Linked DNA regions of Astyanax mexicanus. The protein of the gene in region 2 purifies or fractionates together with the protein of the main gene of each other region. This does not show direct contact. Links are inferred from orthologs where the notes say so. Each region holds a gene or a part of one and is shown on either strand. Other genes may lie near its edges.

Region 1 (8,757 bases), on a different chromosome or scaffold from region 2:
AGACTAAAAACTGATGTATTCTGTATATTTCTTTAAGACAAATGGCAATATACAATACAAAAAAAGCCTTAAATGTCAAAGTATATGTATGTATTTGTAGCACCATATTTATAAAAAAAAAATGGAATATTTAAACACTAAATAGAACTGTGCAACAAATCTGTATCTAGGTAAATATTATACTGACTCTGAATGCAATGGATTATGCCAATATATTACGATATTACAGTATTGTGATTTTTTTTATATGTTTTATAAATCTGCAAATAATGAAGACAAATAACTGTCCAAAGAAGCAACAGCTGCCCTGTAGAACAGCAATGCCCATCATTAGGCCTCCTGATTTAGCTGGAGAGTTTTCTGCCATTTGGCCCGGTTATCTTAGCAGAGTTATCTGAAAACAAGTGTGAGTCACTGAGTTGAGGGGAGGAGGAGGATGAGGATGAGGAGGAGAAGGAGGAGGAGGAGGAGGAGGCGAGGAACAATGTTGCAATCCACAAGTCGTTAACTAGTTTTGCAAAAGCTTTAAGAATGTTTGTAGGTATTGCTAATATAAGTCTTGTGTCACTTTTTTACATAAAAAAAAAAATAAAATCAAATACAGAAAAAGTCACTGGTCAGTGAATGTGTCTACCTGTAATTAACTTCATAGAATGCTAGATTAAAACCCAAATAAACATAACGTTACACATTATTTAAGATAAACAAACTCACCTACCACTGACTTTATTTAGGTTTACTGTAATATTCTTTACAGTTTTGGAGGCAGACACTTGCCCATTCCACCACTCACACATTTTAGCTAAAACAGAACCTTTTCTAATTGCCAGTGTGTATATGATACAATGCACAACTGCGAAAACAAACACATCACAAACAAGAGTTGGAAGCATATACCTTCTTATTTATCATCAACAAAAACAGCCAACATAAAAAAATAATGATTTACCACATAAAACTCAACCGTTCACACCACACATCTGTCTAAATCTGTAGTTTTTTTATGACAATAAGAGCTTGTTAAAAAGTTTTAGTACTATAATTTGGAAAACCTCATCTTACTACTCTTACATCTAATACAGTCAATCCTTCAATCCAATAAACAGCTGCAGCCAGTTCCCAGACTTTGATTGAGGCGTACCCGCTCCTAAACTCATTTACAGCACTGATTCATCACAGACACTGCAATTTAAGCCAAGAATAGGCTTGATGTTCAGACAATGAGGACGTGTTTCATCATTGTTTTTGGGTAGGTGTGTAAGAAAATAGGGAAGTATTACGATATTGTGTTTAGCAATATTGTACAAATTCTTAATAACAGTCTCTCACAGTCTCAAAAACGCACTATCGATTCTTAATTATTAGTTAGGTGTAAAGATGTGTCATACACTGGTTGACAACACTAGTGTTGTTTAATCTTCCTGAATCAAAAAATATGCATTTCTTTACCCATTGATTTTATAAAAAAAAATTTCACACTAGGACAATATCAAATTGAATACAAAATAATATATATTTCCTAGCTTATAGTATTGCAGTATATTTTAATATACTTAACCGTAATCCCTGTATTGTGATTGACATCGTATCACAGGTTATTGTGTATCGCATATATTTCTTGGACAATGCCATTCAAACAAAATTGGTTATCTTTAGAGGCCTAACTGTAAGTCAGAATAAATTCCAGCGTAGAGTCTATTTCTTGGATCCTAAAACTCCAACTCCTCAACTTCCGTAACAACTTCCAGATCAAGCCATAAAACATCCGTACCCTTCCCCTGCTCCCAGTTCATCCCGGCTCATGTTCTGAACTTTAGGTGATGGATGAACCTGCCTGCTGTCCTCTGTTAAATTTCAGAAAGTTGGAGCTAAAAGCTTTCCATTTCTCATGCCAGACAGACACCCCCGTGCCCCGGCGCAGAGAGGGTCCTGGATCACGTTTCTGCTCTCGACAAGTGATGGCTGACAACAGGAGGCTGGTACGGAGTGGCGCAGACCAGAACACCCCCACAACCACCCTCTGATACCCCACAACACCCTCTACAATCACCCCCATTACTACATCCACAATCACCCGCCGAACAGCCCTTAAGTCCTAGTGTAAACACTCCAGACTTCAGATTCATTTTTCACATTCATTTTTCACTAGGCAGAAAAACTCACTATGAGATTTTCAAACATTGCTGTGAGGATTTGATTGTACTGAGTGACGATCTGAGAGCGAAAACACGAAAAGTATTGGATGGACTACCATCATTCCAGAGGTGCCCCACATTGGTCTCTGGGATTGGGCGCTATACCTGCTAGACTATTCTAGGCCTGATATTATGCATGGTGGCAACAGATTCATCTATTACTTCATCTGCTCCAGATAGTCCTATTCTATTGGCAATACTTCTCTATTCTCTACATGCACTAGACAACCTGGGGTTTGCGTGTGCATTTGCACATCTGTGTCAGCAATATTTGCAACTTGGCAAAGGGAGGTCTACCAGCATTTGGAAATGTACCACACATAATTAAAAGAACATTTTGTAGTTACAAAACTCTGGAAAGATATCAGACAAACACTCTGATTTATAGTGTTAGATTATAAACTTTCTTTATAGACACCCAAAGCTGGGTAAGACAGGAAATCTCCAAAATCCATAAAGCACCCCAAGTACACATGAACCATAGACACAGTCTATGACATGAACTCATGGGCTTTCCCAAGTCTTAAAACAGCCAAAGCAATAGTGCGGTGGGAAAAACAGTTTGAGTACACACTGGAAAAACAGACTGTTTAAGTGCATGTAGATCTTTTAAACCCATACAATCACCATGATATGAAGCAGCACAATTATAGCACTGGTATAATTACAGTAAAATAGGTCAATTTAAAGATATTTACACAAGAGAGAACACATGCTGAATGTTAAAAAACGTTGGGACTGGGCAATATATTAACCCTACCAGCATACACGTTTTGTGAGTTTTTATTCTTTGAAATTCAATGTAAAAATAAATTAGAGCATGTCTATTTGCCTAAAAAAGGCAATTTAATCTTTTCTAACTGTGAAAAACATAACATTGAAGTCAGAATAACTTTCCCAAACGCGAAAGTTCGCTTGGTTTTGGAAGTTTCCGTTCCACCTTAAACTCTGCAGCAGGTCTATTTAGGCGCCGAGATTGAATATCTATTAGCTTTGATAATTATTAGGTGCTATTACGTCTGTTGACGTATTTGCTATCATTAACACTGGCAAATTAATCTAAAGAACCCAGTAAAGTTTTCATAGTGTTTTACGCCCTATTAATATTAGCATATAAGGTGGACAGGTCCAACAACAAACCAGAGTCAGCGTGTTTCAAACCAGAGGTTTTACTACAGCTCTTAAAGTTAAAATTATACTAATTATTCAGTATCTCGATATTTTTCAGCAAGAACATATCGCAAACGGTTACTATTACCTACAACTTATTTGCCTAAATTAAGTTATTATAACCTTTGCAACAGCATAAGTTGACTTTTTTCTCGTTCCACATTAAATGTAGCAGCTAGCTCCTGAATGGAACTGCAGCAGCATTTAAGGTGGAACAAAAAGTTCAACAACAAACCAACTTCCGACCACTTTTTACGTTTTTCCTTACAAAGCCTTACAAATAAATTACGTAACTTAACAGCAAAATATTCAAATAAACTCGTTGTTTTACCTTCATAGCAGAGAATGCCAATGTTGTTGTTCATTTTGTCCAGGTACTGGTAGTTCAACAGGTCCATTTTCGTAAGAAGCATTTATTTATCACACTTGACAGCAAAAAGACCAGCTTTTTTGCTCGCGAATAAAGTTGCAAAATGTAAAATGTTAAATTAGTTTGTGGTTTGTTTCTCCCTTCAAAAGCTTAAGGCCCAGCCTTTAAACTTCTCCCGTGCTGAAAAAAAAAAACAAACAAATAAAGAAAAAACGTTCAGCCCGTTTAAACGACGCGATTATAATCAAATGCAAACGATTAAAAAGGATTTAATCGATGAATCGGGGACAAAAACAAAATAATCGCGCCGGTTCTCCTCACAGCCCGCTGTAAGTCGACTGCACCGCCGCTCGCGCGCTGCCTCTGCTCGGTATGGAGGTGAGAGCGTGTGCGCGCGGGGAGCTTCCTGCCTGTGCGCGAGGAGCTGGGCTGCACTACGCATGCGCAGCAAAAAATAAAATCCCAAGAGCGCCTCAAATATCAGATTTTTTTTCCTGAAGGGGAGAGGAGAGTGGAGAAAGGTGTATATATGGTGTGTGTGTGTGTGTGTGTGTGTTTAGTGCTTTTTAGGATCCTATTGATGTTGAAAAGCACACATCTGTACAACTATACAACACATCTTAGACAGAACTGTGACTTTTTGTTAAAAAAAAAAAAACTAGAAATGTATGTAGCTAAGTTGTTGCTAAGTTTTTATGGGGCTGCTAAGGTGTTTCCAAATCCATGCAATTCCACTAAATTTTATAAATGGACAAGTCCTCACAAAGACAGTAATACAAGCATGCACCACACTGGTGTTGCACAGGGGAGGGGGGTAATAGTAAAATCAAAAGGAGGCCAAAACCAACCAAAAGCACAGTTAAAACGTAAACTCCACTCTTTACAATTTACTCACCCAAACAGAACTGTACTAGAGGGTATAAAAGCCCTTGTTCAGAACCTTTGGGATAAGCTTTGGTATAAGGAGGTGTTCTCCAATGAGATTTCCATTTATACTTTACTGCCCTCTAGTGGTGAAATATCTCTCTCACACACACTCCTGACATATCCATATACAATAATCAGCCAAAGCATTTAAACCACAAGCCTAGTTCTACACAAGACCTTTAAAGGTGTCTTGCACCAAGACTTACAGCAAGTCCTGTAAGTGGTGAGGTTGGTGGGGCTTCCATCAGCAACAATGAATCTTGGGTGCCCATGAATGTCGTTAGTTCACTGGTTGTCCTTCTTTGAACACTGTTGGTAGGTACTGACCATTGCATAGCAAGAACACCCACAAGACCTGCTGATTGTTTGGATAAGTTCTGACACAGGTGTATAGATTGTGCAACATCACAAACTTGCATGCAAAACAAAGTTCCTTTGTGTTAAAGTCAAAGACCACCTTAATTCTAGTAAAAAACAATCCATATGCATAAGATTCCCATTTTCAGCACAACACCTCTTAATTTCCTTCTTCTATTGCTTAATTGGTGAAGATATTCTTCCTTAAATTTCTGTTAGTAACCTGAAAGTCTTTTTTTATGTTTTTACACTGCAAACAAATCAAACAATGGTTCTATTGTTAAGATTCAATTTTGGTGCTTTGATCCAAACTGTGGTTCACAGCAACTCTCACACCTGCTATTTTGGTAGGTGGGAAGTAGGGGTTTACAATATATGATAACCTAGCTGGATATTATGTGAAAGATGAAAAAATAAGATCCTGAAATTAGTTTAAACTTCACAAAAGCTTTTCAGCACTTTTCCAGGATAAGTAATACTTTGGTGTGAGTGGACCTAGCTCTGCCTCCAGTTATGTGACCACAGTCTACAGTAAACTCATATAGTAAAAAAAAAATAAAAATATGACTTATCCTACAGACCTAATGTGAAAATGAGGAAAAAGTGTTGTTTTCTGTTATATTTTGTTTTTTATTTACCTGATGCTAAAAAAAAACTTAACTGGAAATACATACAATTTCTAATATCTTACTTTATCATGCAGAGGGAGATAATAGCTGATATCCAATTCTACATACAGTGGGGAGAACAAGTATTTGATACACTGCTGATTTTTCAGGTTTTCCCACTTGCAAAGCATGTGGAAGACTGTAATTTTTATCATAGGTACTGTTCAACTGTGAGTGATGGAATCTAAAACAAAAATCCAGAAAAATACATTGTATGATTTTTAAATAATTAATTTCCATTTTATTGTGGGAAATAAGTATTTGATACACCAGAAAAAGAAACTTAATATTTGGTACAGAAACCTTTGTTTGCAATTACAGAGATGAGACATTTCCTGTAGTTCTTGACAAGGTTTGCACACACTGCAGCAGGGTTTTTATCCCACTCCTCCATACAGATCTCCTCCAGAGCCTTCAGGCTTCGTGGCTGTCGCTGGGCCACACGGACTTTAAGCTCCCTCCAAAGATTTTCTATTGGATTCAGGTCTGGAGACTGGCTAGGCCACTCCAGGACCTTAAGATGTTTCCTACGGAGCCACTCTTTAGTTGCCCTGGCTGTGTGTTTTGGGTCGTTATCATGCTGGAAGACCCAGCCACGACCCATCTTCAGTGCTCTTACTGAGGGAAGGAGGTTGTTGGCCAAAATCTCACGATACATGGCTATGGCGTCAAAACCGTGTCAAAATTCGCGAGCGAGCAAAGTCACTTGGCGCAAGCAAAACCACACTCGCGCGCGCGCGGAGAGGGCTTGGCGCAAGCAAAACCACACTCGCGCGCGCGCGGAGAGGGCTGGCTGCGCACGCGCGGAAGCAAAACCACACTCGCGCGCGCGCGGAGAAGGCTGGCTGCGCGCGCGCGGGGAGAGCTACGCGCGCGAGGAGGCAAAACACTCGCGAGAGTGGAATTTGCCACGCCTTCGGCTTAAATAAATAAATAGGACCTGTTAGGGACGTCCATAAGGGCCAAGGTCACGTACGTCCTATAGCAAACGTTTTAAAAATACTCAAATAAGGACGTCCGCGAGCTGTTTGCTGGGTATGTATGTCGCCACTGAATACACATTCAGGCTGGCTAAAATGCAGTTAGGTATTCACTATTAGATATATAGTGCACCTAATTGAGCTTAGCAGAAATATGACACTATGGCAGGGCAAATGGGGGGAAATTTCATCTGCGGTTATGAACGTAAACGAAGTAAATATGCGGTTATTAATGCTTATCAACACTTGCGTAGGAACCGTCAGAAACCTCAGAAACAGAAATTCTGGACCAGGGTTGGGGGCTACTACATATAGGTTTATATATTGCTGTTGCCTTTTTCCATAAAATTCAAAATTTTATATAATATTGATTGTAATTTTTTGTTGTAATATTTCCTGTCCATTAAAATTAAATATATATATATATATATATATATATATATATATATATATATATATATATATATATATATTGTTCTTTGCAGAATATTCTGAAGTGCCATCTTTTTGAGCGACTCCTAACGTACGTGACCTTGGCCCTTATGGACGTCCCTAACAGGTCCTATTTATTTATGGTGGAGTGCAAATGCCGATTCATTAGCAATGGATTCATATTTATTAAAACGTGTACAAATGTACATTTAGGTACATACTTGCTGCTGTCCTTGTAGCGCCATTTTTCCGAAGTGGGCCTTCTGTGTCTTATTCCCGGGTTTTTCGTGCAAGTGCTATGACATTGACAAACAGCCAATCACAATCCACTTCCGGAAAACAGCCGTAGCCAATCCTGTCTGGGTCTAGGGCTGTCCCTAACGATTATTTTTTAAACGATTATTCTAACGATTATTTTTTTTCGATTAGTCGACTAATCTATTCATTGAGAAAAATATTTAAATAATTATTTTACGTTTTAAAGCAAACGATAAATTACTATATTTATATATAATAACAACAACAACAACAACAACAACAACACAAGCCTACTAAACCAAACCCCACACTTATAATCACTTACATGTACAACACGTTGTTTAGATCTATAACGCTAAAAATGGATAAGCTCCCATACATCACAACCGTGTGTTGCACTGTTTTCTGTGACCGCTAGATTTTGTGACCACTGGCAAGTAGTTCTCAGCAGACCGGTGCACTGGCCGATTCGAAACGTGTTCGTTTCTAATGTTTACCCCGACTGGCCAAAACGGTTCAGTTTAGGGCTGAGGGTAAGGTGTAGGTATAGAAAGCTTCCGTTTTGCCAATGAACGCTCATAACCGTGAGCACTGGTCACAAAATTCCGACGGTGACAGAAAACGGTGTGACACCGCAGCGCCGACGGCGCTAGCTAAAATAACTTAAGGCAGCTAGCTTAGCTAAACACCTGAACGTATGAATAATGCTACTGTTTCTGGAAACTGCGAAATGCCATGCACAAATATAAACCAAAAATGTATAATTTCTGCCTGTGGCAGGTTTAAAACCTTTGGTAGACAGCCTTAAGTCTTTTTAAGGACACCCGCGGAGACCCTGATGTAAACGGTAACTTACTGTGTGACCCTGTTGACATAGTGCTCCTGGATGTTTGCGCTTCAAGTGCTCCTTTTGCACGTATGGCAGAGGACCACATTGTTGCCCTTTTGCGTGAAATGCTCCCAAACTTTAGATGCCCGCTGGCGTTTTTTTGTAGCTGGAGATTGCTCTCCGGAGTCCAAGCTCTCTAGAGCTTAGATTCTCTGCCCGAACCCGACATGACCCGAGGCCCGCCCGTAAATCCGACCCGGGCTCCAGAAAATAGTCCGAGATGTAGGCGTCTGTTTTTTAATTATATTTTTATTTAAAAAAAAATAACGAAAACTGAAAGTGAAACTAAACTAATTTATTTATAAGCGCTGTTTTCACTACCGCAGTTCTACAGCGGGGGTGTTGTGCCGATTCTGTCCGCGAAGCGGGAGTCAGATTCAGCAGAGAGTCGGATTCGGCACAAACGCGGCGGCACCTCGCGCAGTTGTAAGCGCTCGCGCTAGCCGCAAAATACGGCAGAAAACACTGAGGGAGCTGCAGAATTATGAATGGGACTAGAATATGAGCACGA
Region 2 (9,148 bases):
TGAAGGGGAAGGTAAATGAGCCATGTCTTATAGTGGTGAGAGACTAAGAAATATGTCACATGCAGCACCCAGTATCTGTCTAAACTATCATAACACTGAGAATAATGCATTATGTATAGTAACTTTCCCCGTTCAGCCACACACAAAAGCACTAACAAGTCAACAGAGGAAACAATTTTTAACCATCAAAAATCATATTTTGCTCACTCTAACACATTTAAAATGAATTACACTGTAATCTAGCAATAAACCGTCAATTACTGGAACTACTTGCTTTACAAAAGCTCACAGACCACTTCTATTCCGGCCAAACTTCCTCATGAAATATATTGTATAATGGGAGTCTAGTGTGAACTATAGCAAATAAACAGAAGCAGTTTATCTTTAACTCATCATTAAACACACTGAAAATCATGTACACTGTGCTCTAGAAATAAACAGGCATTCACATGAACAATACTGCTTTCCAGGAGCTTGTGTTGCACTGTGCTGATTGCGTTACACATCTTAATTTTTAGGTTTTACGTCAAAGAGAATGTGCCATGCCTGGTAAGGGTAAGAAAATATCAATGATACTAAAAAAGTCAGATGCTTCACATATACTCTTTACATAAATATGCCTACAATGTATATACTATCATAATAGTAAAAATCATGCAACTGTAACAGTTGTCTTCAGAGTAAGCAAGAAAAGCAACAGTCCCTGACATGCACTGCAAGTTAAAGCACAAACAGAGTCAACAAAACATTAAGAAACAGTTTTTAACCATCACCAACCACCTCTTGCACACTGAAAGCTGATCACACCATGCTTAAGAAATAAACAGTCATTCTCTGGAACTATGCTAGCTTGCCAAAAGAAAATAGACCACTCCTGTTTAACCTAAAATTCCTCTTAATATCATAAGACAGGAGTCCTGTGCAACATGTTGCAAATAAACCAGTGCCGTGTGGGAAAACCATGTACAGTGCCAATGCATCTCGAACTGAACAAACTGACACTTGACAAAATCTTCATACCAATGAATTTATTACAATTGACTCAGCTCCAAGGCACGTTACAAGTTTTCTGTTACTACAGAACCGTATAAACAAACAGAGCAGTTAATGTACAGTATTTTTGCTCTACTCTTAAGCATCCGTGCATCTTTAATGCAAAACAAAACCAAACCAAAAACAAAAGGAGTCGGAATGAAAAACATGTAGTAAACTATAGTCATACTTTCAGAGAGCACGAGATATAAAAGAGAGACATCATTATGAGAAAAAAAACACTAAAAAAAATCAGAAGAGAAATGCCCCACTGACACTGATTGGCGTGGAAAATCATGTGACCAACCAAGTCGTCTTACCGTAAGTAATGACAAAACATGTCATGTACAAAAAAAGTGGGGTGGTGGGGGTCTTTTGAAGGGGAAGGGGAGTTGTGTTGTGTTTTTGGGATGTGGTAACCACTTTAAACGAAGTGCGTGAACTGATTTTTTTTTTTTTGTAAAAATAAGAAAAAAAAAAAACAACAGACTGTGACCTCAAAGTGCTTCTCCACCGTCCTGGGCCAACAGTGTCCTCCTTCCCAAGAGGCTCGAGGGAGCTCCAAGAGCCCCCAAAACACAAAAACACAAGGAGGAGTGAGGTGTTCTGTACACATTATTCACAACAAGGTTATTTATATATATATATATAATATATATAGATTTATTTATATATATTTATTTGAGTCGGTCTGTTGAAATGTTCAACAGCATTTCAAGGGTCCCTCTCCTTTTTCACCTTCACATCTCCGGCCAGAATGGTCGCTATCTCCCCTTGCATGAAAGCCCAAGGCACGTTGGAGCCGACCAGGGGGCATTTTTCTCCGCTGGGGCAGTACACCTCGCCCGTGGCGCCTTGCGCCTTGATGCTCTCGCGCGAGCACGGGAAGCAGAACTTGTGGCCGGGTACCGAGGGGCACTGCACGAAGTGTGTGTCCTCCAGGCGCTCGTGGCAAATGGTGCAGCACAGAGGACCGCTGCCAGCCATGGGAGAGTCAGGTACGCCGTGGGCCCCGTGCGCACCGGCGTGCTCCGCGTGCGCCTGCTGCTGTTGCTGCTGCTGTGAGTCGCCGTTGCGCGAGGCCAAGCGCCGCTGGCCTGAGACCGAAGCCGGAGATACGGGACTGCTACCTCCGCCACTGCCGCCGCTGCCGGTGCTGCCGTGGCGTGCGGATGTAGTGGAGTGCACAGAGTTTGCGTCCTTCGGGGAATGCGCGCCCCCGCCGCCGCCTCCACCTCCACCGCCTAGAGCGTCCGCTACCGACATGAGCGCCGCCATGGGCGACTGTCCGTTCTGTGCAGGTTCTGGAGGAGTGGCCCGGCTAGCATGTACAGGGCCCAATGGTGGTGGTGGTCCTCCGTGGCATGCCCCGAATGAGCCCCCCACCGCGGCCAACGCATTTTGGCTGGCCATCCATTGCTGTTGCTGCTGCTGTCGCTCCTCGAGCGAGTCCGGTTCCGGAGAGGCTTTGCGTTTGCGGGCTCCCGCCCGCAGCGCGCTTGCAGATGCAGCAGATGAAGCCGGTAAGGCGCGTGGGAGCATGCCGGCAAGAGCCGAAGAGGGGAGTAGAGGGCAGCCCGCGTCCACGTGCGGCTGGGGGAGCATGTCGGCACCCAGGGTTTCCTTGAAAAAGCGCACGGGCTCGGGCAGCAGGTCGCCGAGGAGACGCCAGTCGCCGGTGCCGTGTTTCTTCTCGTACTCGAGGTACTTGAAGCCGGACGAAAGGCCACGGCCGTAGTCCTTCATGCAGTCATGATACATCTGCTTGGCGACCCCTGAAGCGCTCGAGAAGACGGTGCCGGAGCCGCTCGGGTACTCTACGAAGATTTTTAGCTCGTAGTCTGCGCCCGGCTTGGCTACAGCGTCGAAGGCGAACACGCGGCCCGCGAGCGCGTGGTCCTTTTTGAAGCGCACGTCGAAGGGCGCACATCCAGTCAGTGTAAGCAGAGTGTCGCGCACGAGCTTGGGCTTGCTCGCCCACTCTTCAGCTCGGTTGCGTAGACTTTCCCCGAGCTCGGACAGAGCCTCGGCGTTGCGCTGCCTCTCGCGCGCCTCGCGCTCTTGATCCGTGCTCGAGACGGACGCGGGGCGCTTGCCCGGTTCCGAAAGTCCAAGAGCGGACGACGAGGAGGAGGATGAAGACGATGAGGAGGGAGGTGCGCGCGCGGCCAGGCCCGAAGCGGGTCCGTTAAGCATGGTCTGTGGGAGCAGGTTAGGGGGCACGCTCATCTGCGCAGGCAGAGAAACCAGTCCGTGAGTGCCGCCGCCCCGCCTCGAGTTGGGGCTCTGGCGGTTTAGCTCGGGAGGTCCGTCGTCCGTCTTCGGAAAGCCGTTCAGGAGGCCGTTGGGGAGGCGCGCCGCGTGCGCGCTCATGCCCGTGCCCGTGTAGTCGAAGCGCGAGGAGTAGCAGCGCTCGAGTCCCGCTTGTTGCTGCTGCGCTTGCTTGCTTGTGCCGTCCACGTGGTTTAGCTGCACTGTGGTCTCCTTTCCGTGCGACTTCACGGAGGGCAGCGGAGGCAGCGACGACGACGAGGACGACGGTGGAGGTGGCAGCGGCGGCGGGGGCACCGGCAGCGGTGGTACGACCCCCGCGCCTCCCGGGCCCGGAGAGCGTCCGTCTTGGAATCCGTGCGCGCGCTTGAGGTGCCGCGCGGTCTCGATCACGAACTCGATGCGGTCTGCGCCCTCGTAGTTTACACAGCCGCGGCACACGGGCTCCGTGAAGTCCCAAATCATAGCCCATGGCATGCGGGGCAGGTCGCACAGGTAGCACGACTGCCGCCGTGACGAAGCGACCTGCGCGGAAGACATGCTGCTGCAGCTGCTGCACGCGCGCCGCTCCGCTTCAGCCGCTCAGCAGCGCGAGCAAACGGGGGAGGGAAGAGCCTCGCGCGCTGTGTTTTCTTTTCGTCTCTCTCTCTCTCTCTCTCTTGAACACACACGCGCTGCAGCCTTTTCCCTTTTCTCTCTCTCTCCTCGAGCTCCAGGACCAAAGCAGCGGCGGTGGTGGTCTTGCAGGATTCGGCTGCGCTGTTCCGCCTCACATTTTACTGCCTTTAGTGGGATTTACTTTTTGTTTTTCTTTTTTTGGTTCCCTTTTTTTCCTGACGGTGCCTACACGTCCTCCGCGCGAGCGAGCGCGCGCTCTCTCCCTGCGCGCGGAATGCCACCTGGCCGGAGCGGTGACGTCAGCAGTAGCAGCAGCAGCAGCAACGCGCTATTCTCCGTTACACATCGACATGCCACTTGTTGCTGTAAGAGTGCGCATGCGCTAACCACTCCCCACTAAATCTTTTGAATGGACTGGCACACACAGACGCGCGCGCACACACACACAACACGGACGCACCAAATTGAGCAGTTTTCGCTTAGAAACAAGGAGGGTCTGTGGGAAAACAAGCCGCTCTCAGTCTCTCTCTGTGAAACTCGCCAGTCACCAGTACGAGCTTTACTGCTGTTTAACTCCTACATCTGTTCACTTCAACACTGGAACTACAAGCAGAGGAAATGCTTACATCAGCAAACTACAGTACTGATTTCCTGCACTGTGATAAATATGCCACATTTTTTTTTAATATTCTGGTAAAAAAAAATACCACTAATATTTCCTTTGTATTAACTTAATGCACAATTCCTTAAATAATTTAAACATAATTTCCATACGATCTGTGTATATACAAGACAATTATAATGAATAATCAGTAAATATAAATATTCATCCCTAATAAAAATAAAAAACAAGGTAATTTCTATGTATAAACAATTAAAACAAATTTCTAATGTCTTACAAAAACATTCCATAATTGCAAATTTGTCATAGAACAGTTTAAGGTCTGTGCACATACAAGACAATTCCTCCATTATTCCAGACTGGTAGTGTGCTATCCAGCAAAGGTATATGTTTCATATATAAAATGAAGGTACTGTCATTTATACAGACTGAACATATACTGTTCTCTTACAGAAATAGATAAAACAGTTATAGAACAGTATACATACAGGTGAATTCCATAATCTTCTACAGAAAATAAGTAATTTTTTCAGGTAAAGAAAAGTATGTAATATTTAGTAGACAAAACTGTAATTTTATATTTTTATGAAATACTTTGTAAATGTACACTTCTTTATAGCACAGCGGCCATCTTAAATCCTAAAGCACCTGTGTAGCAAAAGCATATAGAGTAACTACCCAGGAAAGCACAGCACAACTACCTAGATACCATGTGGAATAGCATAACAACCACCTAGAAACACTACAGTAACATATGTATGTATGTATAATGCTAACCTTTAAATTATCCCTATTCAAAATAAACGTGAATAAATGTGATCTAAAAAAAACCCCACTAGTTTTGCTGGTTCAGTCTGTTATTTTCACACTGATTGCATTCAGTGAGTGGATAGACAGAAACAGAGTGCCCCACCCCCAAAGCTCCGAACCCTGCTCTCTCACTCAAACAGGACTACACACACAGACATTTCCTATAAGAGCTCCAGGAGAGAAGGAATGCAAAGGGGGGTGGGGTGGTTGGCTGTACATGTGGAAAATGCTGTTTATTGCAATCCCTACCAACTGCTGGCACCAAATGTAATACACATGTAATGTATGAGCAAAAAGCAACCAGGCATGGCCTCAGCCTCGCTCAAGGCATTTTTTTACCTCCCCGTTAGTGTTGCATACTAAGTGCATCAGACTGGATGTGTATGGAAGCATACACTGGTAGAAAATAACACGGAACACATGGGTCAAAACATGGAGTGACACCTATACAAACATTTATACACTTCCCAACATTCTCTCATTTGCAGTACATAATTACAGACTGTAGTCCATCTGTAGTCCAGCACTGCAGATGTACTGTATATCTACAGTCCAGTCATCTGTTGCTACAGTTTGTGTTGGACATCTCCTAGTCTTACAGAGATGGTCTCTTTTATCAGATAAATGTCATGGGACAAGAGAAACGCTACACTAATCTGCATTAAAAGTGTTTGTGATTTATGCCAGTCACTTGTCTGCATACACAATTCTAGGCAGACACTGCCAGTCATGTACCACACTGCTATACTGCTGTTTGTTATGCATACGCTTTATTTTATCATCCATTTATGGCATGCCAGTGTATGTGTGTAGATATGTAAGCAAATATAGCTTCTGCAGCTCATTACACAAGCCATTTTTATTATTCTATATACCATTTACTAGAAATATTGCAGGGAAATTATAGATTACATAACTCAAAGATTTAACAATACATCTGAACATATACCTGAGTATATACCAAGTTATTAGTGCCAGAATAACAAGCAACCAGAACATTTCATTGCTGGTTTGCCATTTTGTATTTTCTAAACGGGAAAAAATGACAAATGGCAGAGACTGTTCTCGTCACTGCAGGAACACTGCAGTAAAGCAGACCCAATTTCAGTAGGAAAACATTGCGTATGAACATGTACAAACATATCACTAAAAGAGTGGATGTCTTGCCTGATGCACTCATTGTTAGATAAGCAAGCATGCCCCCTAAAATTCATCTGTACTACAGAATTTCTCATAAAACAGTAAGCTAATCTTGGCGCTGGTAAATACGATCTGTGTTCACTCCACTATTTTATCTGTATCTAGTCTGTCTAACTTAATGCCCTAACATAATTGTTCACAGACTCGAAACAGCAATGTTTGTAAACAGCAATGTAGTAAAACATACCAGTCCTGTTTAATAAAACTTTCCTAACCTTCAAAAAATAAAAAAATGTTTGGTCCTAAAATCAAGGGGTTTAGTTACTCTTTAAAAAAGAAAAATGTATTAAAGGTGTTTTAAATACAATTACATTAATTGAAACAGTTAAAAAATATAGCACTGTAAAAAATTAAGGGACTACTTCAGTTTCTGAATCAGTTTCAGTTTGCTATTTATAGGTATTTGTGAGAAATGGCTAAAATAATAAAAAAGATGCAGAGATTTCAGACCTCAAATAAAAAAAAAATATTTAAAGTTTTATTATATGTTTTTTCTCATATAATGCAACGAAAACAAGTTCATATTCATATCATATTCATGAAGTTTTAGGAGTTCAGAAATAAATATTTGGTGGAATAACACTGGTTTTTAATCACTATTTTCTTGGCATGTTCTCCTCCACCAGTCTTACACACTGCTTTTAGATAACTTTATGCCACTCCTGGTGCAAAAGTTCAAGCAGTTCTGGTTGATTTTAAGGCTTGTGATCATCCATCTTCCTCTTGATTATATTCCAAAGGTCTTCAATTTGGTAAAATCAAAGAAACTTCATCATTCTTAAGTGGTCTTTTTTTCAGAGATGTATATAAATATGATATTTGATATTTAATATGATACACTGCTTGAGGTTCTTCTTATGTCACATTGCGACTACTGACACAACACATATTCATAAATACACAAGTATTGCTTTATAAATACGTTATTTAATGCTTACGAACATGCTATGAAGTAAGTAGCGTTCATATATAAAGAGTTATCCATTGATTTTTTTTGTAGGGACAAAAAATAAACATTGGAAACGATCAGGATTGTACAACTAGCCCCAGTGAAGTGCCTTAAACACAAATTAGCATCCAGAAGACTTTCCTGGTAAAGCTTCTGCAGTAACCTGCACGGTCTGATTGTGTGTGCAGACGGCGCAGGATATTTTGCTTTTCTTCCCTCTCCCTGAGAGATTCTTTGCTATCCCCGCAGCCCTCTCATGCATACAGATCACACTGTGTGCCTCGCTGCCTCAAAACACACACACACACACTGTGGAAAGTTTTCAGCGCTCAGCTTTCCCCAGGCCCATCGCAGGGGTTAACTCTCAGCTTCCGCTAAGCAGCTGGCAGCTTGCCAGACTAAGGGATTCTGGGAAAAGGCAAGGCTTGCCAAGTACAAACTGCCAACATTAAGCAGGCCTGACAGGCCCTCTCCTCCTCCAAACCTGGCAGCCGTTCAAAGTGCTCTTTCATTTGAGACACTGGCGGGTAGCCAAATGCATGCAGATTTACTTTACCTATTCTCAGATGGAGCCGATAGAGGCCGCCTGCCGTTGCCATGGGGACCAGAGGCTGCTAGAGCAGCTTTGTGAGTTACTGCCTACCTTGGGCTCCTTATATGTGCGTATCTTGCGCAGGCCGCTCAGTTAGCTGCATATGTGTGATTTCCACTCACGCTGCTGGTCCTTCTTTCTTTCCCTCCCTTTTCAAACAGTGTTTGAAAGGATTTAACCCTTCACGTCTTCTCGAGGCTCGATCGAGAATGAGGCAGGCATGCATTTTTTCATGTCGTACCCTAAATTTTTTTTTAAACGGAACCAGTGCAGTGGCACTGATGTTTAAAACAGGACCAGTCATGGTGAACCCAGAGAGAGTTGGTGGTTACAGAAAGGTTACAAAATATCTATAATATCAGTAGATAGCAGTGTTCTTCTCTGTAGTTAGACCCCCCTCTTCTAATTGCACTCAGATTTTACTGTAAATATGATTGAAAAAGTGATTTATGTTTTATTTAAACAACTGCAATAAATCACCTTGTTTAAAGTATCATAATACATCATTATATTTTGAATCGTAAGCCGTGTATCATAAGCTGTGTATTCATATCAATCATGAGTTCAAACCCTAATACAGACTATTTACAAGAAATTCCTGCGTTGCTTATACAATGAAGGAAAACATAAGCTAGTGTATGCATGCCTCAGTAAACACACTCTGCCATAGGACACAGATTATTTTTTGCTTATTTATCATCATCATTTGCTTTCTTGAACCCAGATCATGTAATACAATCTGTGACAAGGTGGGGATAAATTCTTAAAAACAAGACAGGAAAAGCCTGAGCCTGAGCCTGACCCTGAACATCTACACACACATACATAAACTCACACACACACAAACAAGCTCACAGCATTAAGCAAACATGTCAGACTCCGGAACACACCCCTCACTTAAAGGGATGGGCAGAGGCATTCTTTTCTGGTTCATGATGAGACTGTGGTTTAGGCACGAATGCACACGCATCATCTACTATACTGAGGAACAATTTGTGCCGAGCTCATCTTTACAAAACGCCTATTATTTCACACTGTGCTGGGATATCCCACC

What was found.
Region 1: the proteins of irf2bpl (region 2) and vgll4b purify together in Homo sapiens (affinity purification with mass spectrometry; 3 studies listed by BioGRID and IntAct, counting the BioPlex papers as one, with this or other methods). This does not show direct contact. The link is inferred for Astyanax mexicanus from reciprocal best matches to the Homo sapiens genes IRF2BPL and VGLL4.

The regions. Positions count from the first base shown.
Region 1 is NC_064431.1:14,401,322-14,410,078, forward strand, and holds the start of vgll4b (transcription cofactor vestigial-like protein 4b), read right to left. Parts: upstream 4,116-8,757; 5' UTR 3,779-4,115; coding exon 3,697-3,778; intron 1-3,696. UniProt on the Homo sapiens protein: May act as a specific coactivator for the mammalian TEFs.
Region 2 is NC_064421.1:18,443,134-18,452,281, reverse strand, and holds irf2bpl (probable E3 ubiquitin-protein ligase IRF2BPL), read right to left. Parts: upstream 4,289-9,148; 5' UTR 3,844-4,288; coding exon 1,747-3,843; 3' UTR 1,014-1,746; downstream 1-1,013. UniProt on the Homo sapiens protein: Probable E3 ubiquitin protein ligase involved in the proteasome-mediated ubiquitin-dependent degradation of target proteins. Through the degradation of CTNNB1, functions downstream of FOXF2 to negatively regulate the Wnt signaling pathway.